2 linked regions of the Rattus norvegicus genome follow. The protein of the gene in region 2 purifies or fractionates together with the protein of the main gene of each other region. This does not show direct contact. Links are inferred from orthologs where the notes say so. Each region holds a gene or a part of one and is shown on either strand. Other genes may lie near its edges. The genes, in order: Dync1i1 and Bicd2.

Region 1 (3,808 bases), on a different chromosome or scaffold from region 2:
TCTGTGTTGTGTTAATGTAACTAAACTTCGTTTGCATCAAACCAGGGACTTTTAAATGTCCAGGAAATGCAAATAATGGGAATAAGTCAATTATAGTGACTCCCATAATAAGTCGTTGCACTCTGTTTCAGTTAAAGACCTGTGGGTTTACAGTGATTTTCCTCATTCCCATTTCAGCGCATGTACTTTGGGCATCTCTCATTCACAAGCCCCACACATTGGCAGTTCTTGCTGATATTTGGAGCCGATTCCCTACAGATGTGTTCTCTGAATATCCAAGGCAGAAAGGATTTGATTGTTATATTGTATGTTATCTTTTCTTGATCTTACCACCCTGGCCTGTGTCGGCATTCCACAGAGCCGGAGAAGAGAGTTCAGACAGCTGACTAGAGGAAGAAGACAAAAATTCCCATTGTTTAGATTTCTGTCAGAGGATATAAGAATAGTTAATTTCTTTTATCTCTGGGGCTTTCATTATCATTTAAATTTCATTTTACATTAATTGATCAGGGATTAGTAAAGCCATTATGCAGAAATTAGAATAAGACAAGCCAGATGGAATGAATAATTCATAAAGTCCAATTACGTTTTATTTCTGGTGTACTTTCAAACTTGCCTCTGACTTCTGTGCTATTTTGATGTGACAATATTCGCTGGAAATCAAGTGTGCCATTTTAATTTATTATATCCCTCTGGAGTGGAGGCATTTGTATGCAGTGGAAGAATGTTCAGTGTTTCCCCTCAGAACATCAACTTTAGGGGTCTTGGAAATCCTTGGTGATTTAGAAAGGATGTCATATTTTATGTGTAAGTTCAGAGGTTCTAGAATGAGCTACATTGCTCCACTTGGTTCGGGCGAACTAACCCCACCCCATAATATGGAGGCTACGGTCTTAACTAGATAGATTTCCACTTTCTTGTAAGAGCTGAGACCCGACTTTAAAGGTATTTGTCCCGTTTCCTTCGCCGCAAAGAAAGAGTTAAAATATGAATTTGGCCTGCAGTTTGACTAGAAGAAGCCACCGTTGCTGCAGCGACAAGGGAGGACCACGAGGTGGCAGACGTTGCCTTCGGTGCAGAGTCAGGGTTGCCAGGGACCGCCCGGGCTTCGGAGCATCCCAGCGGGTCCAAGCCCCTCAGCCCACTCCTGGGTTCAGGCTCCCAGCGACCTGCACAGCTTGGCCTGGCAAGAATTCCGAGCTAATGGCAGTCGCGTCCACCTGTCTGGAATGTCGCTTACAACTGTGTCTGAAACCGCCTCGCTCCGCGGGTCCCGGCCCCGGCCCATTCAGAGTCACCCCCACCCCCGGGGATTTATTTATGCCACTGGACAGTTGTAGTCACATTAAAGCTCCGGTTCACCTTCTCGAGGACTTTCATCTCGGGAAGTTTTATGACACTTGGTGAATGTGCAAAGTTTTTAATTAGGCTCTCTAGACAGCCCGAGGCGGCGGCAGCGCCACTAAGTCTTCACGGTCTCTCTGCTTTACAGCACAACAAGCCGCTCTACTCCTTTGAAGACAATGCAGACTATGTGTACGATGTCATGTGGTCCCCCGTGCATCCCGCGCTCTTTGCCTGCGTGGACGGGATGGGGCGCTTGGACCTCTGGAACCTCAACAGTGACACCGAGGTGAGCAGCAGGCTCCCGGGCCCAGGGCTGGGAGGGGGCACCCGGGCCACTCTGCAGTCTGATTCTTCCTGGGGAAAAAAAGACCTGCCTTTTGTGGACAGACCCTCCAACAGCCTCTGGGCAGCGTCCATCGCCCCCACCCCCAGCCCCCAATTCTTAACTACTTGGAAGGGAACTAGCAGATGTATTGGCCAAAACTCCATTTCACTTCATTCCTAAACTGTAGCAGATCTTAGACAGTTACTGACTCTGGTTCACACACACCTTCCCCACCCCACCCACGCCCCCAAGAGCACAAATTGTGTTCACACTTTTCCCTGAGGGGAAGGACACATAGCGTTGAAATAGCTTTATTGGCAGACTTGGAAAAGTAAGATTTTCTGGGTGCCGTCTTTTTTAGATTGGATTATTGAAATGAGGTTACCCTGTCGACGCTGGCTATTCGTACCATTTCTGTTTTGACTCCATAAAATATGATTCTCTACACGACTTTCTGTTTAGATCTGCCATCCATTTGATTTTTGCTAAGGAAATATTCCTTGTCTGCGATATTGAACTCAAAGGCAGTAGTGTCTAAGTTGAAACATGTATGCAAAACTCAGTTTTTAAAATGGGATTTTTAACATGTCACATTTAAAGTCATTCACGAGTGAAAGATGCCTATTTCTTTAAAAGAAAAAAGTTGATAACAAAATGATTACTTTTAAAGTGTATTTTATTTGCTTTGCTTCTTTTCTTTCAATCCCTGGGAAGTACTGAGGGTCTAATTCAGAGCCTTAGGATTGGTGTTGTTGACAGGGAACATGTTTCATGAATATTATGTGTCCTAAAAATGGCCTCTGCATCACTTCTTGGTTTTTGGTTTGGGTACAGATATGCAGGTAAAGAGTGCATGATACAAGGTACCTGTCAAGCAAAGCCAGTCTTTTGAAGAGCTTGGGACAGGAAGTCATTCAGCCTTTTTAATTAAGGATCCTAAGGCTGGAGGACATAGAGGAGAACAGGAGACTAGGGTTTTTTTTGTTTTTTTTTTTGTGGGAGGGGACAGGGAAATTTCCTTCAGGTGGTGTTGTGCCTGGGTGCTTTTAATGGCACATATTTCTGTAGCTATCACCAGGCAAATGTATTTCCATCACAGCCATTTTTTTTTCTTTTACCTCCAAGGACTGTGGGGGAAAGAAAGTTACATAATGAAGGTATCTTTGAAAATCCTCAGAGGGCAGGAGTGAGATGCCCATCGTTTGGGATGCTGAAATGTTTATAACATCATTGCGTTTAATAGTGAGATGCTATTACCTTACGTTGTAATGGTTTCCCAAAGTCTTTCATCACCGTTGATTAAAATCATACTGCTTCTATTTGCCAGAAGAAACTCACTCTAAGCAACCAAAAAAACAAAAACGCTTTCCAGATTGACTCGGGAGCGTGCTATATGAGAAAGCCGGCCAAGCCGAGGTGATGTTTTCATGACACCCAGCTCTGGTGCATAGGAAGGGATGTAGTGGTCCTCACCTCCTTAATAACCTCTCTCTCTCTCTCTCTCTCTCTCTCTCTCTCTCTCTCTCTCTCTCTCTCTCTCTCTCTCTTTCTTTCTCTCTCCCCCTCCCTCCCTCAAAGTGATATCTTGACATTGCCTTCACTCTCTATAGGTATCAAAGAGAGAAACTCAGAGTAGTTTTATAGTTAACATTTAAAACTTCACGGCCGGTCATGCTTAGAGTTAAGATTTATGATAAGCGCTCTGGCTTCACGGCCATGGTAAAAGCACACCAAGGCAGCCTCACTTCCAGGACCTCACAATTTCAAACCCTTTCTTTCTTTTTTTTTTTTTTCAGGTTTAAGTCAGATTAGGAAATAGATTTTAAAAGACTGAGGGAGCCTATGTTCCCTATCTGCTTTGTTGTTCTTCAAATTATTATACTTTTAAACCAAGTTGTCCCCACCCAACCACCCCCACTCCTCTGCAAAAGAAACCGACTATTTACCCTTGATGGGACCGACTCTTCTTAGTAATTTATGCTATATACATCTTGTATTTGCAATTAAAATGACTGTGCCATAAAAACATGAGAATACTTATGAAATCAAAGTTGGAAGTAAGACACATGAAAAGAGCATGCAGATTATTTTAATACAGATTTTCACATTTGAACTTCAAAAACCACTTAAATTAAT
Region 2 (4,467 bases):
ATGTGGCCCTTACTGAGTTAGACACACAATATCAGCAAAACAGGCTATGAGGCCTCCTCTCCACTTCTAGCCTCAGTCAACACCCGGGCCATGGTTGTAAGCAAGACATAGCCATTCTCCCAGAAATAAAGACAGCGGGGTCAACGCTCAGTTGGCTCACCAGCACAAGCTCTCCTGGGATCTGGTTGTAAACCCTTTCACCCAGGTCAGACGGCTTCCTCACCTCAAAGGCTTGCATGACTAAACTCGGGCAAGCACACAAGCAACTCGACGACAGCATAACTTAACTTGTTAGTAACTAAATCTACCACATTTAAAGGAGCAAACAACTTAAGACAGTTCACCTCTCTATGGGGAGAAAACTTCCTATATACGCTGTCTCCTTAAATCTTCATTTTTTTTTTTAAAGTAGAAGTTAGTATTTCAAATACAATACTGACCAAGATTAAAGAGTTTGACCAGAGCCTGCTTTGGCATGGGTGTGAGGAACAATCTGCTGACAAGAGGCAGATTGGCACAAACTTTTGGCAACACTCTCTGAAGCTGATGCATTCCTCTGGACTCCACCAGAAACTTCTGGAAGAAACCTTATCCCACCTCACAAATGGGAGAGGAGCAGCCTGTCCAAGCCTATACAGTGTGGGACTGGCATTAGACTAAGCAGATACCTAAAGGGCACCTAGAGAATAGATCGCACCCTCTTCCTCATCTTCTCAGAGGTTTCCCTCCAGATACAGAGAAGGCCACATGTATGCCACCATTGTTCTTCACTGAGTCATAAAATGATTCTGCCCATAAAACAATTGCAGGAGGCTGACCAACAGAAGTCACCCAAGTGAGGACCGACTAGATCACCAACAGCCAGTTTTCACAGCACATGCCCCTGAAAGAAACCTGCTAATTCAGAGGAGGAGAGTGGGCTTCCCAGGAGAGGTTCACAGGCATTCCACAGGAAGTGGGAAGGCAACCCATATGTATGTGCAGTGGGAGTGGTACTGTAATTAAAGGGTGCAGCTACCTGCCTGGAGCACTAAGGAGGGGGGAAGGGAAGCCCCAGACAGAAGACTAGATTTGGGAAGAGGATACACCCACTCCATATTTTCACAGTCCTGACCTTCATCTATCACCTTGACTGTCCCCTCCCCCTCCAGGGGGGGCTGCCCATCCCCCTCCTTTTGTCAACCCACTGCGGATGGAGCCAGGCTTGGGAAAGTAACTGATGTCCTCTGACAGACAACAGACTTGAGATTCTGTGGGAAGACTCAATTCCTACCTTCCCACAGAAGCAGCCACTTCTGGGACTCACCCAGCCCTGTTCTACCCAGACTTTAGGGATTCATTCCCCCCCAGAAAAGAAGAGAGGCTCTAAAGAGTTCAGGCACCCACCCAAAGCTGGCTGGGAGCAGAAGTATCCAAAGATGAGCCTGTGATTTTAACACCCGAGAGCAGAACTGAGTCTGACAGGGAAGGGAAACCATTTAGATAATCCAAAAAGCTACCTGTGTGGCCCACATCAGGCCTTTCTAAATGCAGAGCACTCAGAGCAATACTTGTGGGTTGGCAAAGCTGTATTCCTACTTTGCAGAGCTGGAAGCTAAGGTTTGAGGAGAGCTTGCCCATGGCTCACCCATAGCTCACCCATAAGCAATAAGGGGGGGTTGGTCCAAACTCAAGTGTGTCCCTCTTCCAGAAAGCATTTCCCCGACAGTCTCCAGAACACGGCTGGGGAGTCAAGACGGATGGGAGAGTCACTAACACTTAAATCATCCCAGAAAGCTTACCCAGGTCCCTCCTACTGCATCCCCCCCCCCCTCAAGCTCTTAGCCAGCCTGGGGGGTCCAACCTCTCTCCCTACAGTGGGATGACACAAAGCACCAGGTTCCGACAGAAGGAACGCAGACTCCAGGGCGACAGGCAGGGCCTAGGAGACCGAGCAAGACAGGAAGCGGTCGATGGAAGCCATGCTTCCCAGTAGTGGGTGCACCATTAATGAGATTGGGGGGGGGGGGGGGGAAGCAGCTGACTGAGCCAGAGCTAAGTCACACTGATGCGATGGATACTGGGAAAGCCGGCCTGTCAAGGGTCATGGGCAATCAGGAGCTGCGACTCACTGTATCCATCCCTTCCCAGCCTCAGGCAGTCATGAAACCAGATGAACAGCACAGAAAGCAGCTGCTCCAAAAAGGGGGGCAGTGATTTGCTTGAAGATGACAGACTGTGGTCAACCAGCCCCAGGCTCAGCCTTACCAAGGGGGTCACTTTCACGGACAGCCTCAGCTGTAAGGGCATCGTCTGCTCCCCCGCCGCCTACACAGACACACCCAAGGCAGCAATAACCATAGCAGGACATCAGTCCTCAACGAAAGGACTATTAAGGCCTGCAGAGAAAACTAGCGGGTACGTGGAGCTGCAGGGAGCCTAGACCCCAGCAGCAGGGCACGGGGCCGAGCATGGTCACTCTCCGTCACTGCCTTGGACCACAACTCTAGGTCTTCTGCCCCACCCCTGGTACCTCCCACCACTGGGCAGGATGACCTCAGAGCCCCAGGCAGGGGTCGCAGCCGGCCACTACCTCTTTGAGCTGCTCCATCTCGCTGCGGATGGCCTCATAGTCCACCTCGAGCTCCTCGAACTGCAGCTTGAGCTGGTGCTTCTCCTCAAGCACCGCCAGTCCATACTCGGCCGCCTGGATCTTCTCACGCGTGGTTTCGGCCAGCTCGTGGGACAGTCGCTTCACCTCGGCGCGCAGCCACTCCGGCTGCGCCTCCATCACCAGACGCGCATACTCCTCCTCCTCCGACGGCGCGGACATGGTGGCCGCGCGCCGAGGCCCGCTCCCACCTTGGCTCCCACAAGCCGGGCCCTCTTAGCCGCCGCCGCCGCCGCCCAGCCCCGACGGCCGCCCGCGCCGCCGCACTGCTCCTCCCTGACGCGCGGGGAACACTGGGGGCTGCAGTCCCACTGAGCATGGACTACATAACCCGCAGTCCCTTGCGCCCACCTGGTCTGAGGCTGTGATTGGTCTAAATCTCAAGGGGGCATGAGCCTAAAGAGACGCAAAGCTACGTCTCCCTTAGCATTGTGGGAGATGTAGTCCTACTGTGCGCTCACTGCTTGGCCTGTTGTGTGCCGCGCCTGCCTGGCTTCAATCGGTGATTGGCCGGCGCCGCTGACGTGACAGCAGTAAGGGTGCCACCGACCCCAGCCCAAGGACCCCGCAGCCACCCGGAGAACCTCCAGCCTTGTGCTCCTATCCTTTCTAGAGTAAGGCGATCTGAGCTGTGGAGACTACGAATAAGATTCGCGTCCTACAACGTCAGAGCCTGGTTGGTGAGACTGTGTGGCGCGCGCTCTATGCGGGATTTGAATGACTTGTGGCGGGCCGCGGGCACTGCCAAAAGGATGCCAACAACCTGACGCTAGGGGCTCAGCGGAGCCCAAACCCGGATACTACTTCCTTCCTCTTGTCCCTTTGTCCGTTAGGATATTCTTTCATAGAAATGAAAGCACCTCCGTGAGCATAATGTCATAGGTGTGTTTAAATGTTGTCTGTCCCCGATTTTCGGCGGGACATGGCTGTACTCTTCACTGTATGTCTAAATAAAAGTTCCCTCCTCGCATGGTGATTTGGATATAACAAGCTTATTCCTCTTCTCACTGCACACCCTCCGCCCCCGCAACACCACACCCTACAGCTGCGGACCACCATAAAACATAGAGGTCAGCTGGAGAGAAGGCTCAGAGGATAAAGCTCTTGCTCAGCAAGAGCAAGGACCTATATTTGCACCCCCAGAGCCCACATAAAGCACAGTCTATAATCCCAATGTTCCCAAGGCAAGATGGGAGGTGGAGATTGGAGAATCCCCTGAAGTTAGACTAGTGCATGAAGTTGGGGGTGGGGGTGGGGAACTAAGATAACCGGCCTCAAACAAGATGCAAGACAAAGACTGACAACTAGATCTGGCCCTCTGATTCCCAGTGCACGTGGGGCCTGTGTGTACCCACAGGAATATGAACCCACTTCACCATACACACACACGCACACACACGATTAAAAGAAAATCTAGGGCCAACACAAGAATTGTGTAGTAAATAAACTTTGTGTGGTGGAGCACACCTTTAATCCCACCACTTGGGAGACAAAGGTAGAAGGATTTCAAGGCCAGCCTGATCTATATATGAAGTTCCAAGCCAGCCAGGACTAAATAGAGAGACCCTGTCTCAAAAACAAGAGAGAGTTGTATAAATACACGTGTTGTTACCTTTTCTCTTGAGCCAACCAGCTTAATTTGCTAGGAGAGTCCTGGCTCTACACTGAGGCCCATATATCAGGCCCACAAAGCTCTTCACACTAAGTGAGGGAGGATGTTTTGGAACAAACCTTGCTCCAACAAGGACAGAGCTCTTCAGTACCTGCACCTATCCTGGCTGCCTGGGAACCTCTCCACCCTGACCTGAACCTATGAG

The links.
Region 1: the proteins of Bicd2 (region 2) and Dync1i1 purify together in Homo sapiens (affinity purification with western blotting; 4 studies listed by BioGRID and IntAct, with this or other methods). This does not show direct contact. The link is inferred for Rattus norvegicus from reciprocal best matches to the Homo sapiens genes BICD2 and DYNC1I1.

What each region holds. Positions count from the first base shown.
Region 1 is NC_086022.1:35,109,370-35,113,177, forward strand, and holds part of Dync1i1 (cytoplasmic dynein 1 intermediate chain 1), read left to right. Parts: intron 1-1,492; coding exon 1,493-1,633; intron 1,634-3,808. UniProt on the Homo sapiens protein: Acts as one of several non-catalytic accessory components of the cytoplasmic dynein 1 complex that are thought to be involved in linking dynein to cargos and to adapter proteins that regulate dynein function.
Region 2 is NC_086035.1:15,508,404-15,512,870, forward strand, and holds the start of Bicd2 (protein bicaudal D homolog 2), read right to left. Parts: upstream 2,903-4,467; 5' UTR 2,813-2,902; coding exon 2,573-2,812; intron 1-2,572. UniProt on the Homo sapiens protein: Acts as an adapter protein linking the dynein motor complex to various cargos and converts dynein from a non-processive to a highly processive motor in the presence of dynactin.